4 linked regions of the Oreochromis niloticus genome follow. The protein of the gene in region 1 interacts with the protein of each later gene in a biochemical or structural test. Links are inferred from orthologs where the notes say so. Each region holds a gene or a part of one and is shown in the gene's direction. Other genes may lie near its edges. The genes, in order: tjp1a, cldn8.1, jam3b and jam2a.

Region 1 (7,525 bases):
GACTTGAATCGCCCTGCTTTGCCTTTTGCTTCTTCACATCTAAATTTCACACTTCCACTACAGAAAGACATAACTGATTTTCTTCATCACTCCAAAAGTGACAATTTGGCCTCTGGCAGTGTTTTTTTCCTTCTTTGGCTGTCGTTGAAGGGCATGTGAGTACAGGAAACTTCAAAAAGCGGTCTATAATAACAACTGGGGCAGTCCCTGTGAGCTGTACAGACACCACTCAGAGCAGGGAGAGACAGATGACAGGTGAATGATGACACGCATCAGCCATTCGGTGACTAATTTTCTGTGCTTACTCAGACGTAATAATCTGCCGCTGTATGCTCAGCTGATGTGGTCCATGTGTCTGCTCCTGCTGTCTGCTTTTTGGTATGAAAGAGAGGCAGAGCAAGAGTGAGACAGGAGAGCAGTCCAAGGCTACAGATTTAATCTGGCTGCTGTGGTCATGTGATTAATTGTGGCCAGGGGCCAGTGGATAGTGTAATTTATGGCGGTGGGGGGGGGATCAACACATTTGGATGGTTGCTGCTCCTGAGGGAAATCTCACTCTTAACCAAACCAGCATTCTTTTCAATCCCTCTTTAACCCACCATAACATCACATCTGTGGCAGCTGGGTTTGGGGACAGTTAGCCTTGTTTTGTTTTTTTGTCTGTGGCTATATAAGGAGGTGTAGTTTTATGTTTGAGGCCATAAAATGAGTGCAGAAGAAGCTAAGTGAGGCCCAGAGAATCTATTTTAAACTTTTGGGGCTAATGGAGCCAGTAAATTGCGTTTAATACCAGAGATTAAAGGGAATATCGACAGCCTGCTGAGGACCGTGCGTCAGTTTTCGCTGTCCTTTTTGGCTTAAAACCATATCACTGCTGTGGTGACCTCACCCTCCTTCAGACCACTGGCACGCTGGTGTGTGTATGTGTGTACATGTTTATTTAATCCTCTTCCCAACTCCAAGAACTGTAAATAAACATCAGAGGAGTTTCATGAGAGGCTGTGTTCAGTTTTTTGGGGTGAATTTTCTGTTGTTTTCAGAGCTGCCAATATCAAGCAGTGCTGATAACAGCAGTTTCCTCCTGACCTTCCCCACCAGCTGCTCACCAGCTTGCTCCATCCAAAATTTACCTGCCTTTGCATTGGCTTGCTGGTTCCATTGGCTTGCTTTGCATTGGCTTGCTGGTCAAAGATAGAGTTTATATCTACATTTGCTTTTTTCTGGTGCATGGGCCGTCTCAAGGGGACTATGGTTTATACTCAGTCCTTCTCCCATCTTTCATTCTGTTTATTAGTCTGAACAAATATGTAAATACAGGGATAGGGACATGCTGTTTCCCCTCGTGATGCAGCTTCATTATAAAATATGCAGGATGCAATCCAGCTTCATTGCCAAATTCTTTAATGGTAAGTGGTCCTGCCCAAGGGGTTTATGCAGAAGGAGTCTGTGAACTCTCTTTATGGTTACATCATAATCTAAATTATTCGACAGCCCTGGGAAATGCATTTCACTTGTTTGACAGATGTCACGCACACGGGGAGTAACTCCTCCTTAGGTCATGAGCGCACAGCCTCCTCTGCGTCCCCTCGTCTTTCAGGTCTCACTAAAGACTTGTATTTACTGGGCATTTAAATTTGACACCGAATCAATCACTGAATTGATTATCATCTGTAGACACTCTGTGAACTATCAGCACCTAAAGGGTAAGTGTTGGGTCTGTTCCCACAAACCCCGCTAATTCTAGAGACTTATTCATCATGAATGAAAACAAGACAGTCAGCGATCGATCGATTACTTGCGCAAGGGAGGCCTCGTCTATGTCCAGCATGGAAGTGACCCCGATGAGGGCCTCCTCTCGCTGGCTTTTATTGACAAACTTCAAACAATAGTTTACAAAACACCTCCCCTCGCAACCCCCTTTGGTTACAAAGACAAGGCACTGTATGTATATGCATGCAGGTGTGTGTGTGTGTGTGTGTGTCCTCCTGCTGACCAAAGGGTCGTAAACGCAGGAAGCTTACATCAAAGGAAGTAGATCTTCCAGATAGGATGTATCTGCTATAAAACCTCCCCCAACACAAAGTGGTTAGAGGTGCTCAGGATCAAAGGAATAGCTTTGATAATACTGCTTGAACTAAGACTGTACAAATTTAAGAAACACAATGGCAACATTCAACAATTAGACCTAACAGTAAGTAAGTGTAACCTCAGCCTTGCATTTAGTATGGATGGCATTAGGAGGTATAGCATGTATGTTAAAAACAAAACACATTAGTAATCCATCATAATATCTACATTATAATGTTAACTATAATATTCTTTAATCTAGTTATTGGAAAATGTAAAAGAACAATGTATTTATGTGTGTATAATATGCACCATTAGCAAGTATATTAAAATAAATTAAGAGGAGATATATATTTTTTACTTATTACAGTAATGTTGATTGTCCATTTTATTCAGTTGGAGCTGTGTGGTGGTTTAAGATGACCCAAGATTTTAATGCACAGCTCATGCTTCCAAAAAAGACTGGAAACGGAGTAAAATGTCTAAAAAAAATAGCACAATGCAACAGTCTGCAAACCTTTTAAGCTCTATATTTAACTGAAAATATTACAAATACAACATGTTGTTGCTTATTTTGAATTTATTGCCAGTAATATGTTTCAAAAATGGTGGTACAGTGTTTTCTTTCACTGTTTTATCACCTCTTCTGTGAAAAAACAAAAAAAGAACTTGGGAAGTGGAGAGAATAATACTGAAGTATTTAAAGCAAAATGTTTTCCTATTCCAGGCGGACTTACGAGTTCGGCTTTAATAGTGTAGAGCAGGGATGTCAAACACGTTACCACATATGGCCCCCTTTGAGCTTACGAGGGCGGGACCAGTGAAACACCCCTTTTTCTCAGAGTTACCAACTTTACACATTCGATCCCTGAGGTATTTTAATGAAAGAAAAAGACGTACAATTTCAATAGCACATCCCATTTTTTCTACATGATAAAGAAAAATCTGTCAGCATGACTCATTGGGCTTAAATGTGTAAAATGACAGAAAAAGTTCTGGTAGCTCATTGTGTAGACGGCCCTCTAATAATATTTTTTTTAATGTAAACCCATATAAAAAGCACAAATTTCTGTAGCAGACAGTGAAAAACAAACTTTTAGTCATTTAATTGTTTATCTATTACTTAATTAATTTGGTGTAATATGAATGGCTCTGGGACTGTGGGGGTGTGTCCATAATGTATGCTCTCCTTCACATTTTCGAGAGCCACCCAGGGACCCAAATTGGTGTCTTTGGTGGGCCAGTTTTGGCCCCTGGGCCTTATGGTTGACAGCCCTAGTCTAAAGCATCATTTTTTGTATTTTTAATTGCACTGAATAATTTTTACAATTGGTCAACAGACATGATGTTTTAATACATGCAGAGCGTGGTCATTAGTAAACGACATCATTAGTAAATGTTGCGCCACAACTTGTATTAAGCTTTCATGGTGCCTTCACAGATTTGCAACTTACCTCTGCTTCATGGTCAGATGTGCCTCATAAAATGATGGATGCTGGCTTTTGTACTCATTGGTCTCTTTGTCTTTAGTCTGGAAAATATGAGCTCAATGGTTTAAAATAAATTAAAAAACAACATATTTTGACTCCTGCAATTGGAGGACAGTTTTTTTCCACTTTGTGTGAAGCTCAGAAAAGGCAGCTGGTTTCCTGTATCATCTGCATTTATGTTTTTAGTCTTTATATAGGCACAGGAATACAGGAATAGTTCTCCTTTGTAATACATGGGGTTTTTTCATTCTTCATACTTAAAGGTCCAGGTTACCAAATCTGGTCACCTACTTGCCTCCTGATTATTTAATTCCATATGAGCTGATTTGTTCCTCTCCACCTCCACTTTATGATATTTAAATCCACCCCATGCTTTAATTCAGTTTAATGGACCAATCTCGCAGAAAACAAGGTCGAAAACACACCTTCTCAGTTTTACAATCCTGGGATTTCTCTAAGCATCAGTTAGACGACGTCTCCCCCCCCCTCCACACACACACACACACGCACGCACACTAAAGCCATTACATGGCTTCCTCTCTCCTCCTCCCTCCCTCCTCCTGTGTCACTCTCCTGCTCTCTCCCTCTCTGGCTGAACACACGCGCACTCTCTTTCCTACCTCGCAGACGCTTGGGTGCCGTCGCCGCTGCATCCTACCGCTCACTGTTGAACCGCCTCTTTCCCTCGACTCTTTTTCTCCACACAAACAAACCGGCATTTCACGGTTTGGCGGCCGGGAAAGTGTCCGCCATACGAGGCAAACCACAACAATGACCCGGTCCTGACTAAAATTGAATAGATTAGCCAATCTATTCTGAGCTCTAATGAGATTAGAGGGTCAGCGCGGACATGGGTCGCGGCGGCGTGGCACCTTTCCTTGAACTCCTCCGGGAACGTCCTCCCTGTCAGCGGTGCTTCCAGCGTGGAAATGGCGTTTTTGACACCGAGGATGCCGCGGATGACGCGAGGGGACAATAACAGACATTTGAATGCACGCTCACCTGTGCCGCTTTGGTGGCGCGCGGATTCCTAGAAGTAGCAGCACCAGCAGCAGTAGTTGTAGTTGTAGTAAAAGTAGCAGCAGCAGAAGCGGCAGCAGGAGTTGCAGAAGGAGAAGATGAAGTACCAGAAATATATAACGGTGATGCAGATGGCCATGGGAGTGACAGCCTCCAACAAAGACTGCCTCCCCGCAAAGAGACAGCTGTGGTGAGTATGGACAAAGAGGAGGAGGTGCGCGCTTTGGTTCGGAGCGTGTGTTGGTGCGTGTGGAGCGTAGGGGAAAGCAGGTTTGAAATGAACCTCTGGGCTTTGTTGTCTTGTTTGAGAAGCTCCAGTCGCGCTTTTCTGCTATGTCTGCTGTGAAGTTGAAGCTCAGCAGCTGCTGGCGGAAGCGACTGCCTCCATCCGCCTCTGTGACGCTCTGCCTTCAACAACAGTTTGATGTGCGCGCCGGTGACATCGACACCCAGCAGGTATTTAGGCGGGGAGGAGGAGGAGAGGGGTGAACAGTGCGCAATCGCCCCTTCTCCGTGTTCCTCCTGGTGGTCTCTGAGTGTTATGATCCGCTGGTGAGGTTTTCACGAAACAGAGCAGGTGGATTTACAGCAACAGTGAAACGACGCGGACACACACCGCTTTCTTATTTTACCCGCACGCACTCGGCGATTTCAGTTTTCCGAGCAGCTCTCTGGTCTCGCGTCTATTTCTGCGATCACGTGTAGTAGTAAAAAAAACCCAAAAAACGCTCATCTCTTATTTAGCAGCTTCTTGCCACCTGCATTTGTGTAGGAGCGGTGCTTGGTGTTTAACTCTCATTGGTTGATCACGTCTCCGTGCGTTTCCATTTAAATATGTCCACCTAGTTTAATACACGTCCACGTTTGATATCATTTATCCGTCTAAAAATGTTCTCTGGTGTTTCCGGATGAATCAGCAAAACTTAACAAGCAAAAGACTTTTTTAAAATTTATTTTAGAAAGCTGTCTCTACATCTCACCTCTGTTGCAATTAATTCCCCATCGCTTTCCTTCTCTCCAAAAGTTCCCAGGATGCTTTAATACTGTAAGATTTCTTTTTTGAAACAAAACGAAACAAAATCTCTCTTCTCTGCTTCTAGCTTTCACAGCTACATGACAAGATGACAGCAAACTAAGATATTTTGAAGAAATCATGTCAACATTTATAAACTCCAGATATTTTTTTTACATCACAAAACTATTAAAATTTACCTGAACAAAAGTTTGATAATGCTGCACTGAGCTTCTCTTCAAAGATGATTTAAATATGATACCAATGACAAACTGACCTATTTCTTTATGCACTCGATGAATTGATTAGTTGGTGTCAGGGCGCAAGATGCTACTGCCTTAACCTTATTTGGCTTCTGACAACCTGTCAGAGGCTGTTATACTGTGATACACTGTGAATGTGTTTGCACTATAGGGCATAATAAAGGAAACTGTGAAGAACGCTTCTTTTACTAATTGAAATAAGGAGCATTATAAAGAAGAAAAGGAACAAAAAAAGAAAACGTGACACAGCAGAGTGGTGTTCAGTCTAATTATAGGATCTTATCACAATGAGCAGATTCAGTCTTTCTTCTACTGTAATCCACGCAGATAACATTAAGCACCCAGCACAATCCTTACAGATTTGCACTGCTTTACACTGAGAAGACAAACTCTGGTTCCTTGCGTAGGATGTGCAAGGCTTTGAGGGGGTCCATCCTACATGTGGGAGCAAATGGGTCCATTACTTTGAATCAGAAATGATCTCACATGGGAGAAAGGATAGGTTTGCTCCTCTCCAACCACTGTCAAACATGTAGGACAGCGCACAGCGGTGACTTGGTTTTGACACTTCTCCCTTAAGAGAGGCGCAGTGGTATGTCCGGGGCCATCACATCACGGTGGGGGAAGGGACACGGCCATTAAAAGTGGATTACTGTATCGCCTCCGACAGCCACTTTAACGGAGCGTAGCTGAGCCAGCGTGTAGCTGCAGTGTGTGTTTCATGGAGTCACCCTTGGATTCTCTTGCCTGCCATTTCCGTCTTTATTCAGTGAAGTCAGAGTCCAGAGTCAGTAGGCTCACGTGCACACAAGTAACTCGCTTGCTGTGAAGACTGAGCTAATGCTTAAAAATGTAAGGTGTGACTTTAGGTTGGAATACCAAAGCAATGACCCAAGTTTAGGTGATCACTGTGCATCATAGAAGTTTAATCCTGATGTGTTTCAACCGGTGAGCTAATAGCAGTTGACGAGTTGTAGCTTCAACTTCAATCTGTTTTATATAACTGCTTTCATATTTAGAAGTAGTTAGTTTCTTAATTTCAGTCCTCCAGAGGGAAAAATGCATTGCTTTACATTCACTTTACTCTTTGACTCGTGCAACACAAGAAAGGAATTTAAACACCCGAAGAAGCCAGGCTGAACAGTTTGTATCTTCATAACTAAATGAAATGTCAGCGTCTTCTGAAAGGTTGAGTAAGTGGTCTGGTTTCCTTCCATTCATACCACAAGGTTGAGATTGCACAACGCAGAAATAAGCTGCTGCTGGAAGACCTAGCTCATACATGATTTATATCAGACTCACTTGCACTCAGGTAATGGGAGATGTTGTTCCTTAACGAGCGTAAGAACAGGACTGGCTGTGATGTCGCGACCAGAGACAACGAAAATGTCTGAAATTCAGCGAGCTGCAGCGATAACGTCCCAAATAACTGCTGCCAAGATCAAGTAGGCGTGTAGAGCGATTAACTAATCTCAGCATCGAGGTTGGACAGCGACTGCCTCCAGTACTGTCGTGGTTGCGACAGTACTGCAACTGGTTGGAGTAATTTTGACTGTCGTATAATTATTTTGTACAATATTGAGATCACAAATATTTGTCAGGATTCTTCACTGATTTTAGTGGCAAAAATTGTTTTATGTAAGCAGAACTTGCAAAGATTTGTGTACATCTTC
Region 2 (7,224 bases), on another chromosome or scaffold:
GGAGGGCTTGTGGATGGACTGCTACCGACAGGCTAACATCAACATCCAGTGCAAGGTGTATGACTCGATGTTAATTCTCCCACCAGAGCTGCAGGCAGCGAGGGGGCTCATGTGTGTCTCCATAGTCCTGGCTTTCATCTCGTTGTTGCTCACAGGATTCGGGATCCAGAAGAGCAACTGTTGTGGTGACAATTTAAAGAGTAAGAACATCACCTATGCATTAGGAGGGAGTCTGTTTCTACTTTCCTGTTTGACCACACTCATCCCCGTAAGCTGGGTGGCCCATACTGTCATCAGTAACTTCTATAACCCGGAAACGCTGGATGCTAGGAAGCGGGAGCTGGGAGCGTCCCTCTTCATTGGCTGGGCCACTTCTGGTGTTTTGCTAATCACCGGGATCATTGTGCTGTTTAGGTACAGCAAACGCAGTGCAAAGGAAGATCAGCGCTACATTGAAGTATATCATATTGTGAAAAGGAATGAACAGAAGGCGGACAGTGTTGACTTTTCGAGAGCGAAATCTAGTTTTCATTCAAATCAGGAATATGTGTAAATACCTGTACTGCAGTGTACTAATTACATATTAGATGTCTCTCCATATATTTATGAGCAACATGTATTTTATTTGCAATGATATATTTAAATCAATCATGTAATCATGCTCTGTTGTACTATGCGTTTGTCTTGTCTGCACTGTTTGGTTTACAGATGCAGCAAAAATATTTGGGTAATATGCTGTACATGAATAAACAATAGTGCCTGTGTTTAAAGTAATATAATTTTTGGCAAATCTATATTATCACTCTGAGCAACAATACACCGCTTGCAGTGGCTATCGTCAATCAACTTCAATCTTAATCCAGCTCTTGCTCCAATGACCCTGAGAATGTCATCACTGTTTTTAAGTACTTGTTTTGGATGCAAGTCTGTATTTTTTGTATTTATTTAAGTCATTTTTGTTGTGCTTAATGATGAATTTCTCATCTGAGACATGACAAATGCAACTGCTTCACTGTCTTATTTCATTATATTTCATGATCTAATAATCCCGCCAACCAAGTGAACAGATCATTTATTAAAATCTTTAATTCAGTTTGTTTGTGTGATTCAATTCATAGAATTTCTACTTTTTTTGTGGAACGCAAATACTTAACCAACACTCCATTCAGATATTTTTCTTGTACTAAAAACCTAAGGTGGAAAAGTGAAAACAGCCAATGAAGAAGTGCCTCATTTTCACATTGGACAGAGCAGAAACTAAAATGTTTCTGTGGCTGCAACAAGGGAATGACCCTGTGTGATAATGACAAAAGGTCCTCCTCCTCAGGTTTCTGTGTGCAACACCTTTTCATCAGCTCATCTTACGTGTAGAGAAGCAGTGTGTTTCACATCTGTGATCATCCTATAAGCTTTCTGTTTGTGAGATGGCGTCGTTTCCTACGCCCATTAGTGTAGCTGGATGCTACAGTTGTTATATTTGTTTTATTCATTTTTTCAACATTTATAGCAAGTCATTTTTATCTGGCAAATCCTTTCAAATGATAAAACTGGCCACACATTGCATTAGTTAATTTTAAGTTAGCACATGTAATAGTACTGAGATATTACTCGTTATGTTCACAATACATTTTCCTTATGCTAAATGTTTTCTAAAATTACGTCAAGTATTTCCGTGTAGTATTAAAAATATGTTACATACTTTTCATTAACTTTGACTTTTTTGCTTGATTTTATTAAAATATGATGTTGATTAAACCTTGTTGTTACTGTGGTAACAAGATTTAGTGATTTTTAATAACTAAAAACTAGCGACTGATCATTAGTACTGGAGGTATTCAAAACAAGCAACTCCTTTGTGTCTCGCCATTTATCTGATGGCTCTGAAGCAGCTTAACCAGTAAGGCTGCATTGCATCATTAGCATAGTTTTTGTGGGTGTATAAGTTCCTCAACTTGTTGTTCTCCTCAGATTTTTCTCTTCAGCTGTATAAGTGCACCAGGAGGTTGAGATTAAGCTTTCTGTGTTAGCCAGAATGGCCACTTACACTGCTTACAGTGGCTACAGCAAGCCACCTCAATCTTATGTTGGCAGTTACTACGATGGGAAGCCGGCGCTGACAAACGGAGAGTATGGAGAGTATGGGGACTCTGTATATGAGGAAAAGAAGAAAATTGAGAAACGGAAGCGTCGAAATGCTATCTGCTGTGAGGTAGTAGCTCTCATCATTGGCTTCATTGGACTAATTGGCGTTGCAGCTGTGACGGGCCTGCCGATGTGGAAGGTAACAGCCTTTATTGACGCGAACATTATTGTCATGGAGACCCGCTGGGAGGGTTTGTGGATGAACTGCTACAGACAAGCCAACATCAGAATGCAATGTAAAGTGTACGATTCCCTGCTGTTTCTGCCTCCTGATCTCCAGGCTGCCAGGGGTCTGATGTGCAGCTCTGTGGCTCTGACCACCTTCGCCCTTATTGTTTCAGCAGTGGGGATGAAATGCACAAAAGTGGTGGACCATCGGGCTCGTACCAAGCATATTGTTCTTGTGGCTGGTGGCTGCCTGTTCCTCATGGGTTGCCTTACAACCCTAATTCCCGTGTCCTGGACTGGCCATGTCATCATCCAAGATTTTTACAACCCTCTACTGATCGATGCCCAGCGTAGAGAGCTCGGGGAGGCTCTTTATATTGGCTGGGTGACTTCAGCGTTGCTTTTCAGTGCCGGAGTGATCCTGCTTTGCCGCCATGCTCCCCGCACCCAAGATCCAGATGAGATGATTCAATACAACCCCACAGGAAGCCTCTACCAACCCGCATACACCAACCAGCCAGCATACACCTACCAGCCAGCATATGCCTACCAGCCTGCTTACTCTGCAGCCCCACCAGGATCTGTGATATACGCACCAAGTCAATACTAAAGATTTTTGGACTTTTTTTTTTAAAAATAAACTTGCCAAAATTTGGCACATTTGATGAGGAGAACTGATTAACTGTCGTTCACTTGAAACAACCAGATATTTCTTTACTTAGCAAAGTGTACTGCAAATACTCCAAATCATTATGGACTTGAATGTGTTTCAATGCTGACAAACTGTGCTGGATTTCCATATTCCTTGTTTGGGTTTTTTTTTTTGTTTGTTTGTTTTTTTACCCTTTTGCTTAATTCACACTAAATTATGTTCTAGCACAGTATGTATAATCTATTACATCTGTTAATGTTACAACAATTGTATGTTGATATTGCGTTCTTTACAGTTTCTGACCTACTCAAAATTCTGGCCAAATTTGTTTTTTTCCTAATAAAGTACATGGCTTGTAAAAGAGAATCGTGTTGTATTTTTTCCCCCCAATCTCTAACACAACAGGACATAGCTGATCAAGAAGTTAAAGGTGCGTTATAATGTAAGCACTGTTAGTGATGCCAAATGAGCTTAAATTTGTTGTAAATTTCCAAAACCTCAAACTGAAACTGCACTTTCTTCACTCACTAGTGAGCAAATGGAAATATATGTCATTTCTATTGTAGTGGTGGAAATGTGCCTAAACTGGTTAAACCAGGCTGTTTACACAGATCCACCCACTGTACAAACCTACCAGGTGACTTTACTTCAACCAAACAGGAATTGGTTGCTTTTTTTTCCCTGAGAGCAGAGTCACACAAGAGACCCAGACAAGAAATCCAGTACTGAGTCATACATTTCTAACATTTGACACCCTTAAAGCAAACCAAAATATAGAAGAATATTAAAAAAAAAATACAAATGCACACACACACACACACACACACACACACACACACACACACACACGTACAAATTGTTTCCTTTTCACGGTACTTCTAAAATGTACTTATCAAATGTACAAAAAAAATGTTGAATATTTATCATAATTTGCCATACTTTGTTCTTTTTTTTCCCGCCGTTCTACTACTTCTCATATTCTGTTAAAACTGCACATCTCTTATATCTTTCATACACACACACAGAGGCAGACTTCCCCTGACTCACTGTTTGTCTTGTCTGCTGTGCGCTCCTGTCTTTAACAGTGTGCGTTACAAAAATGGGGGACAAAGAGTTTTGTCCATTGGTGTTATTTTGCGTCTCCAGTTCCCCTACATGCCCATGGACCATGAGGCCCTCCACAATAGCAGTAAACAATTAAAAATAAAGATTAAGTAATAAACAGGAAGTGAATCAGAACTGATTTTTGATCTGTAACTATAACTGGTAATACATTAACAGAGTATGTTTACCAGTGATACATTTGACGATTCTAAACATGCCCCCATTGTTAAGAAACACCTCATCGTTTTGTCTTCTTTTAAGGCGAAGTCCGAGAATGTAAACTGAGACTTCTGAGTAAACAAACGGGGAGCTGAGAGCAGCTACTGGGTTGCTGTACAAAGAATTAAAGGCCCAAGGGATTCAGTTTCCTAGCAACATGTCACAATTCCCACTACCTCCCATTCTGGTGTTATGTCCACAGGGAGGAGGGTGTACAGGTGAACATGAACCTGCTCCTCCTCCATCGGGATGCAAAGCCACTCCACAGAGAAAACCTACTGCTTCCTACAGCAGTCACACTTTGTCCGCACACTATTGCACTTCTGAGCTCGGATGAGTAAGTGAAGAACAGGATGGCAAACTCAGCACTGGAGATTGTGGGTCTTTTAGTATCCCTAATCGGGCTGATCGGGGCAGCAGCAACTACAGGAATGCCTATGTGGCGCGTCACAGCTTTCATTGGAGACAATATCATTGTGTTTGAGACTCTGTTTGAGGGCTTGTGGATGAATTGCTACCAACAGGCAAGCTTCAGGATGCAGTGTAAAGTGTACGACTCTCTCCTGGCCCTGACTCCTGACCTGCAGGCGGCAAGGGGGCTGATGTGCTGCTCTCTGGCACTGAGTGGTCTTGGTGTGCTGATCAGTCTGATAGGCATGCAGTGCACATCATGCATCCAAAACAATGATCGAGCTAAGCGGCTGGTTCTCATCATTGCTGGTAGCATGATCATATTGGGTTGCTTCTGTGTCCTCATCCCCGTCTCCTGGACGGGTCACGTCATCATCACTAACTTCTACAACCCCTTGCTGATCGATGCCCAGCGGAGAGAGCTTGGAGCAGCTCTCTACATTGGCTGGGTAACTTCGGCTTTCTTGTTTGCTGGAGGATGCATTTTTATTTGCTGTAATATACAGTCGGATGACAAAGATTCAGAGAGGTACCTATACTCCAAGGCCTCAGACTATTCGGTCTACCCTCAACAGCCACTACAGCCTCTACAACCTCAACAACTGATGACGCTTCCCCCCCAACCACGATCTCAGCCAATGCTATCAAGATACCCATCGTCTATCTACAGTTACCAGTCCAGATATCCCTCTGTACACAGTGCACACAGTGGGGTCGCGTTTCTGTGAACACTTATTTTTATTTTTGTTTTTTTAATTGATCGGAAACTATGCATTTCAGGTTTAAGAGAAAATGTGTGTGAACCAATACACCATTTCTACTACATTATGTGTATTAATTAAATTTTATACTAACAGCCTTATATTTTATACAAATGCTTAAAAATTGTGTACATTTATGCTGTATATAACAATTTAATTCAATCTTTAACCACTGAAAATTATTAAAAAGTTGACTTACTCTAAAACATGCACTTTGTTAATGGGACATGTCATCTCTGAAAAACAAGAGTAGTTGTAACTACATTTAAAGCTTAAGAAATATTTTTTGAAATGACTAAACTTTAAACATGAGCTGTGTCTGAGCTGTGCTGCTAAAAAAGAAAAGTTAATCATTACTAATCAGTTTCAACTAGTATTCAAATCAAAAGTAATAACTAAATGATGGCAGGTGTAGAAGTAGTACTAGAAAAGACCAACAAACACATAACGCTTCATGTGTGAAATGAAAAGAAGAAACAGTTTTCATTTTTTCATTACCAGGATTTCACTGGAAAGTAAATGCCATCCATCTAAAATACCTCCAAAACTAGGACGTTTATGGTGTTTGCTTAACCAAAAAAATCCTGAATCTGTTTAAGTTGGCTGGGTAAAGAGGAAATAGTTACACAAAAACAAGATACTGGATTAAGGATACTTGTTTAAGGTGTGGCAGCATAGCCAGATAGTTACAAAAAAAAGCAGAGCGACAACGGCATGATCATATGTTCCAAATTTGCAAGTCACTTTGAATAGAAAACAAAGCAGACTGTGTTAAACATTTCTGTCTCTGTTCAATAGAATACGACTTCTTAATCGAACAGGTTGCTTATTTTCAGTTTTAGTAAGTTCAAATGTAAACTATACAACTTGAACTTCAAAATAAAACAGTAATTTCACTGCTGTTGGGTAACGCAAATATTTGTGACGTAAGGACAATGTAGTGTTTATTGTCGCTTGAGGTTTCACGCAATAATTTCTGAAGCCATGATGAATACATGTTGACAAGTTCTGTACATAATTTAAACTTAGACATTTAAACTGTAAGAGACAGAACAAACTGTATTTGGCCTGTGTTATGTGAGATCCCCCTCATTTCACTATCCTAAAGGTCATCTCTGCTCCCCTGTGGACAATATAAGAACTACATGCTCTGTACTAAACTGTACCACATATTAATGTTTGCTTCTAATTTGTACCACATATAAAGAGTAAGAAAACATGGCAAATAATTAAAATTTAAAAAAAATAGTTGGTGTTGTCTTGTTTTGTATGTACACTGTTGGAGACAGTAACGACTGACCCCTATCACCTGAGAAACATAAACACAAAATAAGCAGACCTCCTCCTACCCTCATCCCTCTAAACCAACCAGGTGAGTGCAGGGCATCTCACCCATAACAAACTGTCTCGTACAGCAAGCAAATGTTATGGATGAGAGCCATTCTAATTCTGGATTTAACCACAACTGAACAATGATTCAAGGTGCTTCAGAGCTAGCTGCAATGTGCGTGGGCTTGGTTGGCTTGATCGGTGCATCGGCTACCACGGGGTTGCCCATGTGGAAGGTGACCGCGTTCATCGGAGAAAACATAATTGTGATGGAAACCCGCTGGGAAGGCTTATGGATGAACTGCTACAGACAAGCCAACATCAGGATGCAATGTAAGGTTTATGACTCCCTGCTGTATCTGCCCCCTGAATTACAGGCTGCCAGGGGTCTGATGTGCTCTGCTGTGGCCTTGTCAGCAGTAGGGCTTCTTGTGGCTC
Region 3 (7,585 bases), on another chromosome or scaffold:
GCTCTGTACAACAACATCAATAGATGACAGCTAATATCGAAGCTGGAAAGTGCAACTGGACTAAATGATGCCCAGCCACACACGATGACAGATGCTGAGCTAAGGATGAGGATTGTGGCCAGAGTGAAGGTGGCTCATCTCAGAGGAGATGCTTGCAGATGTGAACATTGCTCTAAGCACCATCACCGCTACCAGTATCAGTGAAACTACTCACATATGCTACTGCCACACTAATCCTAGAATCATTTGGGTATGATCAAAGATTTGAGTAAAGCAAACCCCCTATGGAGAAGAAGGCTGGAATCCAAAATCAGGGAAGCTTGGAAGGATGTTAACTACGGTGCAGAAGGTGAGCTTAATGAAAAAGAGGTACAACAAGATATTCATAAGTGAGGCTTTAGAAATTGCCAAACAAAGGCTCACAGTTGTGATCATTAGGCTCAAGGTATATAACACGGAAGCAAATAATAAAATAAAAAGAATTAAATTAAATTAAATTAAATTAAATTAAATTAAATTAAATTAAATTAAATTAAATTAAATTAATAAATTCCATGGTCTACAATGATATGTCCAGAGTGTCCTCTCAGCTACGAGGGGAATAATCGTACAAAGGCAGACCCACCCGAAGCTGAAACTGAGTAATATTGGAATAACATCCAGGAGAAAGAGGGAGAAATATCTGATAGAAATGCAAAGTGGCTGATGGACCTAAGCGTAGACCACAGCAACTTCCCAGACCAAGAGCCAGTCAATATCTCAATGAGTCTTTGGAATCGAGAGCTGGACAGCACACGGACCTGGCTGGAGAAATTCACAGCACACCATGATTGCCTGACAATGCAGGACAATTTTGATCATTAAGAATCCTTGCAAGGGTACAATATCATCAAACTACTAGCTGATTACCTGCCTCGGCACAATATGGAAGCTCCTCTCAGGCATCACAGCAACTAAACTGAGTATGTGCATGTGACCTAATACATGGGTACAGCTCAGAATTACATTGGAAATAATACCAGAGGGCCAAAGCAAAAACTCCTGGTTGACAGAGCAGGTTGATAGACTCCAAGGCCAGGCAGACCAACCTGAACAGCACTGGCATTGACTACAAGAAAAACTTGAAACTCAATGCCCCACATGTGGATACTGGTGTGCTAATAACATTCATCAGGGACTTACTGGGACTGTGGAAGACAACACACAAATCACCATCAATTGTGTGCTATACCAAGGTGACGTACTGTCCCTGTTGCTGTTCCGCATAGACATTAACCCCCCAAGTCCGCTCACTACCAAGAGTTGATATGAATTCAGGAGTGAAGTGGTCATCAGCAACCTCCTGTACAAGGCGAACATCAAACTGTAGGCCGAGACTAAATAAAATATTCAAATCTGATCCACCTAACCTCAGGATGTCATTTGAACTGGATAAGTACAGGGAGTGCAGAATTATTAGGCAAATGAGTATTTTGTCCACATCATCCTCTTCATGCATGTTGTCTTACTCCAAGCTGTATAGGCTCTGTAATGAGAAGGGGTGTGGTCTAATGACATCAACACCCTATATCAGGTGTGCATAATTATTAGGCAACTTCCTTTCCTTTGGCAAAATGGGTCAAAAGAAGGACTTGACAGGCTCAGAAAAGTCAAAAATAGTGAGATATCTTGCAGAGGGATGCAGCAGTCTTAAAATTGCAAAGCTTCTGAAGCGTGATCATCGAACAATCAAGCGTTTCATTCAAAATAGTCAACAGGGTCGCAAGAAGCGTGTGGAAAAACCAAGGCGCAAAATAACTGCCCATGAACTGAGAAAAGTCAAGCGTGCAGCTGCCAAGATGCCACTTGCCACCAGTTTGGCCATATTTCAGAGCTGCAACATCACTGGAGTGCCCAGAAGCACAAGGTGTGCAATACTCAGAGACATGGCCAAGGTAAGAAAGGCTGAAAGACGACCACCATTGAACAAGACACACAAGCTGAAACGTCAAGACTGGGCCAAGAAATATCTCAAGACTGATTTTTCTAAGGTTTTATGGACTGATGAAATGAGAGTGAGTCTTGATGGGCCAGATGGATGGGCCCGTGGCTGGAGTGGTAAAGGGCAGAGAGCTCCAGTCCGACTCAGACGCCAGCAAGGTGGAGGTGGAGTACTGGTTTGGGCTGGTATCATCAAAGATGAGCTTGTGGGGCCTTTTCGGGTTGAGGATGGAGTCAAGCTCAACTCCCAGTCCTACTGCCAGTTTCTGGAAGACACCTTCTTCAAGCAGTGGTACAGGAAGAAGTCTGCATCCTTCAAGAAAAACGTGATTTTCATGCAGGACAATGCTCCATCACACGCGTCCAAGTACTCCACAGCGTGGCTGGCAAGAAAGGGTATAAAAGAAGAAAAACTAATGACATGGCCTCCTTGTTCACCTGATCTGAACCCCATTGAGAACCTGTGGTCCATCATCAAATGTGAGATTTACAAGGAGGGAAAACAGTACACCTCTCTGAACAGTGTCTGGGAGGCTGTGGTTGCTGCTGCACGCAATGTTGATGGTGAACAGATCAAAACACTGACAGAATCCATGGATGGCAGGCTTTTGAGTGTCCTTGCAAAGAAAGGTGGCTATATTGGTCGCTGATTTGTTTTTGTTTTGTTTTTGAATGTCAGAAATGTATATTTGTGAATGTGGAGATGTTATATTGGTTTCACTTGTAAAAATAAATAATTGAAATGGGTATATATTTGTTTTTTGTTAAGTTGCCTAATAATTATGCACAGTAATAGTCACCTGCACACACAGATATCCCCCTAAAATAGCTCAAACTAAAAACAAACTAAAAACTACTTCCAAAAACATTCAGCTTTGATATTAATGAGTTTTTTGGGTTCATTGAGAACATGGTTGTTGTTCAATAATAAAATTATTCCTCAAAAATACAACTTGCCTAATAATTCTGCACTCCCTGTATGAGCTAAGGAGAGGACGGGAGCTCATTGTCCAGTCATTTGGACTGGATAAGGAATGCTTGCAGGTGGAGCTACAAGAAGGCAGAATAGCACATATACAGGAAAGCTAAAAACTAGCTGAGTGTTGCCAAACGGGAAGTCCAACTGAAGTCCAGCACCCTGAGGCTCTATGACGAATTGAAAAAGGAAGTTTATGTTGACTAAAAGAAAAAGTGGGGACAAATAGCCAAATGATATCATATTGGATATTGCAGGATGACTCTGAGAAGATTGAGTTTTCAAACTAAATAAATAATAAAAACAAAACCTGGAACAAAAGAGATAAGCTCTATGTCATCTTGTCAACAACAAGCATAATCTCATTTCTGATTTTTATTTTTTATTTTTCATTTTATGTTAAAATTTAGGCAAGGCAAGATTTTAGATTTTCATCTCATACATCATAATTGAAGTTCCCAAACGGTATTGAAGATGCACATTAAAGTAAAGTATTTATATGCACATTATAGATTGATATTTATGTCTTATTAGTACTTTGTAATCTTGGTGTTAGGAGGGTTTGTACATATTATTTGTTATTTCCCTTAGTCTACAAACACTGCTTATGGAACGCTGAGAAGCTTTGATTGCCCCTTTTTTGAAAATCAAGTTTCAGTGCTACATCATCACAGATTCCAAATACAAACCTAGAGAGCAGAGCCTGAACACAAGAGTGTGGTTGAAACAGCTACACCTGATTCATACCACAATATTGCCTGAATTACAGATTTTGATGTTATGTAATACAATTCAAATGCATTCTAGCATTATTAGACATACTTCTATAATTAGATATAACTGCTGCAGTAATGATGTACACAGTGAGCACTGTGCTTATTTTAAACGAGGCTTTTATGAGATCCATTACTGGCAAATGTTGGTTGATCCTGTCAAAGACAAAAGCAGCTTAAAGTATATGAGATTATTTTTGCTGTTGTGAAACAGTTTGAAGGAACCGGAACAGTTCGTATAGCATTTTTCAGGCTGCACCAGTTGTCATCACAGACATGACATACAAGACTGGGGTTGCTCTTTCATGTGAACAAGGTAATACGGCAGCTGTCAATGGGATGACAGTTGCAAGCAGGTATGAGCAGGACTGGCCAGGTAAAGTTAATATTTAATTAAAGCCGGCCGTATGCTACTGGTCACAGTAACAGAGTGTCAAGCTCAGCTTTTCACACATGATAGATTCTTCTAGAACTGAAAGAGTACTTGTAGATTCATGTTTTATTACAATCCTTTAATTTCTGTGAATGTGTGTTTTTTGTAGTAATATTACCCCATTTTTAATGTTGTCAAGGAAACTCCAGATATTATTATTTTCTTAGTCAAAATGCTGTAAACAACAATACAGTACACAAAAGGCTGGGGCTATTTATCTGCAACTGCAGATAAGTAACTATAACTACAGCATAAGCCACAGTAGCGAGGGCCTCCCACATTGTGTCAACTATAAATTCTTGTCTGTGTGAGTGATGCTTTCGGTAGCTATGGAAACCTAATATAATAGACCCCCCCCTCCTCCTCCTCCCTGGCGCGCTCTCTCGCTCTCTTTCTCTCTCCGGTTTATCTCCATGTCTCTCTCCCTCTCTCCATCCCCAGCAAGGCTCTTCAGTCTACTTTGCGCATGTACAGACAGCCAAATAGAGCATTGCATCGACTCCAAGATGGCGAAAACACGTCTGGCCTGGCTCTTGACTCTCCTCTCAACTCAGTGTAAGTACAAAAATTATTTTAACCGGCTGCTACTTTGTCTTTTATCCGCTCGAGGAAGGTGACCGCCAAATGCCATCCACTTCTACATCTGTTTGGTCGATTTTTCTTTTACACCAACAGTAAGTGGAAAAGAGAGTGCCTCAGAAGTAACCGTGTAGACTCAACTAACGTTAAACTTAAACCAGACTGACAGCGAGTTCGGTCCCTTCGACGTGAAGTAAATATAGTTAATGAAGTGACCAAAATAGTCGCCATTTTTAACTTAATGTCAACGCGAGTCTGGCAAATGCACGGCTGGAGTGATTGTTTGAAGCGTTCATTGTTACTGAAAAACATCGCTCAGACTACTCTCAACTATTGATTTTATTGGAATACTGCCGCCGTTAAGAGGAGTGACAGATATCTACATGTAACTACACATGAGGAAAGCAGGGCTGTCTGAGCTGAACGTTCAGATCCTCAGTTTAGCGGCACATTTGGAGTCGCTAAGCCGACACGTTTTCTGTGTGCGCGTGTCCTGCCTCTGAAAAAGTTTCTCTACAGCATGAAGACAAACTTTTCGTTGGGAAATTAAACATGAATTAAGGCGGTTTCGTAGCTCGTGCCGTTAACTATTTAACGCGGGTTTGAAGCTGCGGTGATGATGTTGGAAGTACTGACGCGAGATAACGGATTTTTCCTACAGCGGAATAAAAGCAGGCTGACCGCGGGAGGAGCCAGGCAGACCAGCAAAGCGTCCTCCACCCCCCTCCTCATCATCCTTCTCCTCCACTCCAACGCTTTTAAACCGCGACACGGCTGGTGAACCGACACAGCCGAAATAAAATAAATTCTTTTTATGCTAACCGTATCCACCTGAAAGTCCTCATAACTTTATCAGTCCGGTACCTAGAACAGAAATACAGACACCTGTAAGAGCGGAGCGATTTGTTTAAATATTCATGCGGGAGCTCCCAGTTCCTTTACACGTTCCTCACACGGTTTGACGATATTGGTCATAAGACAAATAAGTCATATTCATTCATATGATTTGACATAAATTTAAAATTTATTATTTCCTCAGAGCCGTGGGGAAGGACCTTGAAGTTGAGGGTGCTGCTGTAGACGAAAGGTTTTTTACGCTTGCGTGGTGGTGGTTTTGGGGGGGGGGTACTAGACTACCAACTGTTAGTATACTTCATACACATTTTTATTTAACAAGTCTGAGTCTGATTTTCAATAAATACACCACTCATCTAATGCAATTGGAAACTTAATTAAACATATTTGTCTTCCAACTATCAGACCCTGAAGCACAAAGCAGACAAGAATAAACCAAAACAAAGATGAACAGATCCAGCAGTCCGTTCTGCACAGCCAGAAAAACAAATTTTAAACATCCTGAAAGGACAATAATAAATCCTCTGCTCCGTGAAAAGATTCACACACCAATGAGCAAAGTCATTATGAAGCTAGAAAATGGTAGGCCAGTCTCTGAGGTTCGGTTTGATTTAAAGTTACTGTTCAAAAATGTCTAGTGGGAAAAAAGTTTGATGGCTGAAACGGCTCCTTCGATGCAGATAACATGTTAAACCCACTGCCAGTGGAAGTATCCTTGCACGGTAGTGGTGTGTGATACCAAATAAATACAGGGTAGAGCTGGGCGATATAAGATTTTTTCATTTCACGATATGTTTCTTTCATTTCAGGCGATAACGATATATATCACAATATAAGCCAGATAACTATATTTGTAAGATTTAAATGTGCCGTTGCTCACAAGTAAAATGTGAAATAATTAGCAGCTTGTTTTAATTAAAATATTTATTTCCCATAATAAGTTCAACAGATGTACTTAAGGAACATGAGACTTCAGTTTCAGATAAATAAAGGCAAATATTGCAAACTACACAAAAGGCAAGTTTCAAAATAGAACAAACAAAACAGACCACTAAATTGTCAATTCCACTTAGAAACAAAATATTAATTCTAAAAATAAATCTTAGGTCGTTTTACAGAAGAACAGACAAAATTGACTAACTTTTGTCAATATCAAATAAACTGAGAACTAAAAGGAAATTCTCAATCTCTCCTTGTTGTATAGCTTAGCTTTTCAAACAGTTTTAACAGTTACTTTAGTCTGACAAAAGCCGAATGACGAATTAGCGCTTTCAGTCAGAGATTGAGCATGCACCGCTTTATTGTATTTCCAGACTTGCTTTCGGCACAATTTACAGTGCGCGCTACTCTGTTTTTTGTCAGACTTGAAATAGCCGAAATACCTTCACACTACGGAACTTCTGTGGCCCTTCCGTTCGACAATCTCTCCGGCATTGGAACCATCATCTGTTTTTTCTTCGGTAACCTTCGCTCACGCTCTCGGTTGATTTTTCTCTAATCGGCAAACTCCTTTCCTTCATTACCCGGGCAGCCCGGCTGCAAAAACAAATACACATGTGCGCCTTGGCACTTGTGCTGTACGTAACAAGTCACATGACGTGACGCTGTGGCTGTGATTGGTTCGGCTCTGCGCTACTTAATTTGGATTGGCTGTTCTTTTTTTTTTTTTTTAAGAGGACAAGAGAGATGAGGCCTATCGCAATAGTTTAATTTTTCTATCGAGAAAAAGTTATTTCGCAATACATATCGTTATCGTTCTATCGCCCAGCTCTAATACAGGGCCAGTATTGCCAGTACCAATACTGATACCAGTGCTTTTAACTTATAAAGGCAGCTTATGAAGGGAAGAGCAGTGTGTAATGATTTATAAGATGAATCATTATCGACTAATAAATCACTGATTTTTAATTTCCACAATAATTAGTTAAAGCAAACAGAACATAACTTTCATGTATTTTGAAATTAGGGTTCTTTGAGACATGGAGTGTA
Region 4 (7,692 bases), on another chromosome or scaffold:
GATTGGCCCGGCCTTTCTAACAGTTTTATTTTCTTTCTCTGAGAGTTTCCTTGGCTGCGTTTGGGAGCATCTTCTCCCTGTAATGTCCACCCTCGTTTCATCTTCATCATCCTGGTAGATGGAAGCAGATTTTAATTTGTCCATTCATCCTTGCTCTAATTATATGAAGGAAGTGCCATATGCTGAAAAGCAGCCCTGCACCATGATGTCCCCACCTTCAAACTTCACTGTTGGCGTGGTGCTTTTGGGGTGACATGCAGTGCCTTTGGACTTCTGTGGTTTGATTTCTTTGTGTGTGTGGATTGCACCTTTAGAAATATATTTACTTAGAAAATAGGTGACATGTTCAATACTAAAACCCGCTGTACAGCTAGACAACAGAGAGAGAGAGACTTCGGTTATCTAAATGGACTTGTTGAGGTTCATTCGCTGGGATTACCCGAATGTTTTTCTTTTAAAACACATACTTTTTGGTTATTTATGTGTTGCATCCATGCTTCTAGCTCTTCTAAAGATTGCCTCAGAAGGCTCATAAAGCCTCTGAATCTTGCACTGATGTCAAATTGTCTGGCCTTTTTGACGGGCGTAATTTGTTACATCATTAAGTTGAAAGATTAGTGTTATTTGGTCCACCCCCAGTATGTGCCAGCCTACAGACTCTCCAGGAACAGGTTTATAAAAACAGCGAGACGTGGGCGGATGCGTTTTGTGAGCCGGCTGCAGGCAGTAGGGAGGCCTGTCCCCTGTCTGCCTCCAGCTGGCGCTCCAAAACACCACCGCCCACACTGCAAAGAGATTCTTCCAAATTTCCCCCCACGGTGGGCATCATGCCCCCACAACCCACTACCACCACTACAGAAGCTTTCTTTTTTAAAATATATGCAAAAAGATATTTTAGCCTATTTCTAATGAAAGTAGGATGGAGAGGGGATGCAACGGTCTTGGAAGTAGATCAATTTTAGTTTCTCTTCTCTCTGTTTTCACATTTTTGTTTTCTACACAGGTGGATGTGCCGGGTCCTGAAGTAGCAGCTCCACCATCTCCTCCCAACTCACCTCAACTTCCAGCCAGCCACTAACCACCTCTGTAACCCTCCACGTAAACACTTTAACTGATTTGATCATTTGTTCAATAAATGTATAAAAATATGTGAGAAATCTCTTGCATCTATTTATTTTCTTATTCAATATTGCTGCAAATTGAAACAAATGGCAGTATTGTTGCGCAAAATGCAGCAGCCTTTGTATTCGGCGTGATTAACAGTCATGATTGTGGGTGCGTTTGTTCTTGTATCAGGAGTTTTGCTTAACAACAAAAGCCGTGTGCGTGCATGTGTACATGTGTAAATTGGCCAGAGGTCAGGCAACAGTGCATCTGTTGCGTCTATCACTTGGCAAACAGGTGGCTCTCAATCCTCTGAGTGCGTTTGGCATGTGTGAGCAAGCCTGAGGATTTGAGTCATGAGGCAGCATCGTTTCCCTTTTTTTTCTTCTTCTTCCTTGATTCGTGGTAAATTGACACGGTCGACAACAACACTGAGATTTATGCAAGAGCTACATCATCGTTTTTTGAGAAGTTGCAATTGTAGCCTGAAATCTAGGGTCTTCGATACTTTAAAGTAAAAACATTCCTTTATATGCTTTAAAATTAAAAGAATCTGCAATGAAACATTCTGTCTGTTAAATTTGCTACACATAGCTGTAAATAAATTATCAATAAAATTGCAAAATAGGGGAAAAAAACTGAATAAACAAAATTGACATTTTTCACAGAAAGTTTGGTGTTTATAACGTAAACTGCAAATATTAGTAAGCTGTCAAAACACAGTTAACAATTATAATTAGTGTAATTTCACAGACTGTGTATTTTATAATTGTGCTGTTTATTTTAAAATAAACCATAAAACTGTGACGTTATGGAGAAGGAATAATAAAAATTCTGTAAAGATTTATTCTTAAGGCATGCATAAGTTTAATGAGATTGAACAATAAATGTTAATTGGCTGTGAAATTACAGACTTGGATCATTCAATATAATTTTACAAAACTACTAAACTCTTCCATAAACAGAATAGTCTAGTCATGTAAGACCAAACAAACAGTATTTTTGTAATAATTTCATTTTTTGTAACGTAAAAATAGGTTAAATCAGGAAAGTGATGCAACCAATCAGATTCTTTTGTTTTAGTTTTGATTAGAAACAAGGTGTAAGGGGCGGGCACTTGCAGATCAATAACTGTCAAATCTGAAGGATGCTTGACGGACTTTACACAGAGGGACACTTACAAGGGGACAGTGTGGAAAAAGTTCAAACAGATAGCCAGCAACATGGAAAATTTTAATGGGTGGAAAATGGACGGTTTATAGATTGAACCAGATGTAAATGAAAAGCACTGTGGGCGTGGCAACCTTCTAAAATTGTCTTCTTACTACATAATAAACCTGACTGGTAACTGTAGCAATTTTAAGCTTGGTTGATTTTATTGTAGCAGTATTTTATCGTATTATTAGATATTTGTTTATCATTTTTGCACATTTAAATGCAATTTTAAAAAAATACTGTGTAAACTTAAAGCTACAGAACTAGTTTCCAAAACGAGAAAATTTCCATGTTTAATTAAAATGTCTTTATTTTTCCGTGATCGTAAAGCTCCGTTATTTCACTGTGTTTTTCTGGCACACCAGATGCTGCACTATTACTGTAGGTGGCTGGAGGGTGGGGGGGTTGTTTTGGTTTGTTTGTGTTTTTTTACAGTGTACACAATCTTGTTTAACATCTGTTTATTGATTCGTTCTGGTAAAGTTCCCATATTTGGGATACATAAAGTATGTCTTATGTTTAATGGCTTCCAGTGACAAGGAAAATTGATCCCTTCTTTGGGTGTCTTTAGATCATTTGAGATTAAAAGTGAATGCCAGGAACCATAAAACAGAAAAAACGCCCATTTCTGGTCAAATTATTATGTTTGTTTCTCAGTAACATTGAACTTTTCCCAAATTGGATCCAGGAAACAATGTAAGATTGCGCAAAGTCTCTGGCCAGAAAAGCTCCAAACTATGCAGCTGTTGTCCCATCTCAAGCATCCTGCTGCTTCTCCCCCACCCCCCCACCCAAAAACACCCTGACAGTGTGTGAGACACACCCAAACACACATGCCTCAGACTCAGTCCCAGTTGAGATGTTTGACTCGGTGCCCTGATGCCCTGAATTCCCCTTTCCTGCAGCACTTTAGAGGTGTTTAGGAACTGGTGCTGCTCAGATGATTAAAATTGAATAACTACAAAAATACTGTGGAATGATGCATTCTGACAAATGAATTTATGTCCTTCTGTTCTCCATTTGTTCAAAAGGTCTCTAATGCAATCTGCGTGCCTCGCTGAATCTCTTGAGTAATTGTTGAGGAATCAATGCTCTGCTGATGAACAGTAATAACCCGTCTTTCTCTGGATATAATCAGCATTCAGCTTTCTATAGAGGAAAAAAACTATTGTCATGCATTTCAGGTTTAATGAGAATTACTTTGCTTAAATAAGCTTTTGATTGCACCATACTTTAAATGTCAGTGCTTTTTTTTCCCTGTTAAACACTCGTTATTCTTTAAATCCATCCTATACAAAATTACAAAATTGTTCTTAAAAAGATCTTGAGCGAAAGCGTAATCGGGCAGGATCACTTTCAGAACCGCTTACAACGAGACCTCATATGAAATCCAAGTGAAATCATGAGCTCATTCTCACAAAACATAAGGGAGGATTTTCAGAGTTGACGAATGAATAACTTGAAAGAAAATTCTTTGCCCAACAACTCACATGTTTTCTGTTATGGTGGAAAAGCTGAAATACATTTACTGTTTTTCAACCTTGAAGGTGCCCGGCACAGTTTTAATGACGCCACCCTTCTGCTCTTTAAACCCAAATTAGTCACAATACTAAGAGCTCATGTTTACAAGATAAATGCCACTCTGAATTTAAGTGGACCGGACCAGTGAAACTACATGATAAATGTGTAAAATTGGAGAAAAAAAAGTTCTTGTAGGTCAGAATATAAAGTTTTAATCAATTTACAGAAAATATTGGGGTTTGTTTTTGTTTTTGTACTGTGGACATACGGTGTAGTATGGTGATAATCATTAAGAAAAGCTAGCTGTAAAGTCTACAGTTCAAAATCTACACGCAATGTTTGTCAGGTGGGCCAAATTGGAGTCTTTGCTGGGCCTATTCTGGCTCCCGGGCCTTATGTTCGGCACCCCCCCTTTCTCAAAAACGCAAACGATTTCAGGTCTTTACAGTTCTTTTAACTCTTAATTCTTAGTGTTGCATCTCAGTGTTTGTCCTCTGTTCCAACAAATCGCCTGTTTCATGATTACTGAAACCAAAGAGATTTTTCATCAAAACTGTTTAAATACTCCGTAATGATTCTGACTGTTTCTAACAAACTTGACTGCAACATCGAAGAAAGAAACTGTAATATGTGTGTTTCTACGTGGAGTGGGCCTCAAAGTTCAGCATAACTCGCGGGTCTCCCTCGGGGTTCTGTATTAAGGGGGCCACACCTTTGCTGCCACCCCACCGCTATGCTATGTGGCCACTTGGCAGTGCAGTGCGCGTCTTGGACACGGCGCTGCGCTCTCGGCGCTCCGCCGCTCTGCTCATCAGAGCTCACTCCGCCCTCCCTCCCTCTCTCCCTCCACCTCAATCTCAACCAGCCGCCCAGCGAGAACAGAGAGCATCCATTCGCGTCTCTCTGACAGTGACAGAGGCTGCTCGCCATTGCTCACCGCACTTTTCAGCCGGGACGTCGATCTCGCTGACTGCTCCGCGCAGAAGTTGCGACTTCACGCTCGTCTGTTTCTCGTGCCAGGAGCTGAGCGCCGGGTCGGTCCGGTTGCTTGACACACACGCACACGCGCGCACAGACACCCTCCCCGGAGATCAGTTTATTCCCTGGATGCTGGGTGAATTATCCGGGAGTTGCGAACAAGTGAACAACAAAGCCGAGGCTCGGGATCTGCCTCCTCGCTCCGTCCTCCGAAGACGAGACTCCAGCCAGAGTTGGGGACGATAATGATGTGGACGTCCCTGTATCTTCCTGTTGTGATTTTACTGATGCAATGTAAGTGGAAAATGGAAAGTGTTCATTCGAAGAAGTTGCTCTTACAGTGTTCCCTTTTATTTACTTTTCAGGACGAGGGAGAAACCATTACGAATCATTAAGAAAACCGATTCTTTAAAAGGTGCTTGAAAGCCTAGATGTTTATCTTGTGGGGAAATTCTACTGATTTTCACTGAAGTCATAATACAGCGTTGGTCTGTTTTCTATAAACATGATTTGGAAGATGAATATATGGAGGAATTTTTCATTTCACGTTTTTTCTTTTTTGGATTCACGTAATTGTTGATTTGCAAGCGCCCCCCCGGTTTAGTTGAACCCCCTCCGATAGAGTGGGCCGTGGTGACGGTGCAGCCAGGCTGGGTTCCTACAAGCTGGCCCCAAAGTTGTATTGGCCTGGTGCCACTTAAGGGTGTGGGTGTTATGTTGGTGGCGGGTGGGTACCCATTTTTGGCAGAATAAGCCACAGATCTGCGCGTGAGGTCAGCGTTTGGATTTCTACCAGAAACTTCAAGCTGGTTTTCACCGTGACACGGAGTTTGTTTGTTTCTTCAGGGGCGGTGGGAGGGAAGAAATTGGGAACACAAAAAGTTACACTTTTAAATGTATTTTAAGGCGAAAATAACAAGAAAACATCTCAAGTGGGCTGATTATCCTGCACGGAGACGCAGGAAGGAAGAGTGCTGTTTGGGGCTTGAGCGTGAGATGGATGTGATGAGACAGTAAGAGTGAGTCACTCACATTTTACTCACATTTCGCCACCTGTCAGGACACCGGGTCAGAGTTCACAGAGCTGTGTGTTTTCAGTCCCGCTGTGATAGAAATCACTCGTCATGTGGCTCAATTGATGGATGTCAGCAGGTGAGAAGAGCACCATTGAGATCCCCCTCCCCCCTCAGCTCCACTGCTACTTGTACAGTGCATTGTTTAAAAAGGAAAAAAGAAACAAAAGAAGTAGAAGAGGAAATGTTTTGGGTGGGTCTCTGGCAAGTGATCCCGAAGCTTCCATATCACCTCTTCTCTCTCTCACTCTATCTCTATCTCCCTCTCTCTCACACACACACACACACACACACTCACAAACAGTTTAAGTAATACCCCCAACCTCACCCTCTCGCACACATATATCCACACATCAACTCCCTCATATCAACCTCTCTCTCTCAGACACACACACTCTCTCATGCTGTGTCTGTCTGAGACAGCTGTTGCTCACAGTCTTACAGTCATACACAGACTGGCTTTGTTCAAATGGAGAACACACACACACACACACACACACACACACACATGCCCGCACAGTCAGTCGTCATCCTGTTTTCCTGCGCACTCCCCCTCCACAGCCTTGAAATGTGTTTGCCCTCCACGTTCATGTTATCTACATCACGCAGGCAGACAGGATATTTCCTATGGGTCCATCTCCCTCCCTCTTTCATTTGTTCTCTGTTAATTTGAATAAGTGCCTTAATTATTACTGCGCCATGCTTTTGACCTCGGCACAGCCCTGGCAACACCCGCCTCAGTCTCTGTAATACTCAGAACGGACCGCGTAATGAGAGTAAAGCTGAGTGCCAAGGAGTGAGCGTGCCATCCTTCTATTTTTTGCTCAGGGAAGAGGGTGGCTGTCCCTCCTGTGAGTTTAAGCAGTAGCACTGTTTGATTGATGTTAATGCCATGCACGACATCCGTGTGTGTGTCTGTGTGTGTTTTAGTCTTTTTCCTTCCTGTGTTGGTGCTATTGTTAGTCTTTCCCGTGCTTCAGAACCACCACAGGCCCACAGAAGCAGCATTTTAATTACCGCTGTGGCCAAATCCGATGCTATATTGGAGAATCACCAGAGACCTGCTGCTGTGGTACTTATTATAATAATCTTTTTCATCTGGCAAATCTAGTGCAACGCTGCAGCCCCTCATTAGGCCATTTTGCTGTTCACTTGACCAAAGTAGTTGAAGTCCACCTGGATTGGTGGAAAAAGTGTAAAATGGAGTTGATTTTCAACCCCTAGTGGTCCATACTTATGTACTGTGTAACTATGTATGACGACACTGAGTAGTTAGGATACTCAGCACTCGGTGCCGGTAATAGTCCTGCTAACTGGAAATGATGTTAACCCAAATCAGTCTGCTCTGTCTGATGATTGTTTTGTACTCATCTATCAGGGCTGCGTGCATTAGCTCCTATGGATGTTCCAGTTTTTGGCCAACAATCAAGGTCAATCCTGGAAGGCGATACAAATCTCTTTGTGACTCGGTCAGGAAAGGCGGTGTAAAAATCAGCCAAATGAAAACATGTGGTGCACTCTGAGAACCTCCGCTGACTAACGGAACAATTTGGAGATGTTTTGTATGTCTTATAAGATTACGCTGTCCGTTTGGATGCAAATGCCAGTCATTGTTTAAAGCAGACCTAATTAAGTCCCAGCTCTTTAACTTTTATTCTTGGACTCTACTGCACTGGCTTTGCATGGATCACAATTCAAGATGATCCTTATTTAGCCTTGCTGTAGCACAAACAGCAGCTGCCAGGACTCAAAAATTAACATAACATCTAGATGAGCAAAAGTCTGTCCCATAGAGCTGTTG

What was found.
Region 2: the proteins of tjp1a (region 1) and cldn8.1 form a complex in vitro, tested with the Homo sapiens proteins (2 studies listed by BioGRID and IntAct, with this or other methods). The link is inferred for Oreochromis niloticus from reciprocal best matches to the Homo sapiens genes TJP1 and CLDN8.
Region 3: the proteins of tjp1a (region 1) and jam3b form a complex in vitro, tested with the Homo sapiens proteins (2 studies listed by BioGRID and IntAct, with this or other methods). The link is inferred for Oreochromis niloticus from reciprocal best matches to the Homo sapiens genes TJP1 and JAM3.
Region 4: the proteins of tjp1a (region 1) and jam2a form a complex in vitro, tested with the Homo sapiens proteins (2 studies listed by BioGRID and IntAct, with this or other methods). The link is inferred for Oreochromis niloticus from reciprocal best matches to the Homo sapiens genes TJP1 and JAM2.

Annotation. Positions count from the first base shown.
Region 1 is NC_031965.2:19,078,073-19,085,597, reverse strand, and holds the start of tjp1a (tight junction protein ZO-1), read left to right. Parts: upstream 1-4,510; 5' UTR 4,511-4,675; coding exon 4,676-4,767; intron 4,768-4,986; exon of another isoform or gene 4,987-5,001; coding exon of another isoform or gene 5,002-5,033; intron 5,034-7,525. UniProt on the Homo sapiens protein: TJP1, TJP2, and TJP3 are closely related scaffolding proteins that link tight junction (TJ) transmembrane proteins such as claudins, junctional adhesion molecules, and occludin to the actin cytoskeleton.
Region 2 is NC_031979.2:31,204,312-31,211,535, forward strand, and holds cldn8.1 (claudin-8), read left to right. Parts: upstream 1-4,488; 5' UTR 4,489-4,638; coding exon 4,639-5,424; 3' UTR 5,425-6,703; downstream 6,704-7,224. Other genes in the region: claudin-17-like, read left to right, coding at 1-553; cldn8.2 (claudin-8), read left to right, coding at 2,033-2,920; claudin-8-like, read left to right, coding at 6,930-7,224.
Region 3 is NC_031975.2:3,977,710-3,985,294, reverse strand, and holds the start of jam3b (junctional adhesion molecule 3B), read left to right. Parts: upstream 1-4,575; coding exon 4,576-4,717; intron 4,718-7,585. UniProt on the Homo sapiens protein: Junctional adhesion protein that mediates heterotypic cell-cell interactions with its cognate receptor JAM2 to regulate different cellular processes. Plays a role in homing and mobilization of hematopoietic stem and progenitor cells within the bone marrow.
Region 4 is NC_031986.2:11,215,855-11,223,546, reverse strand, and holds the start of jam2a (junctional adhesion molecule 2A), read left to right. Parts: upstream 1-4,675; 5' UTR 4,676-5,063; coding exon 5,064-5,112; intron 5,113-7,692. Other genes in the region: mrpl39 (large ribosomal subunit protein mL39), read left to right, coding at 1,004-1,078. UniProt on the Homo sapiens protein: Junctional adhesion protein that mediates heterotypic cell-cell interactions with its cognate receptor JAM3 to regulate different cellular processes. Plays a role in homing and mobilization of hematopoietic stem and progenitor cells within the bone marrow.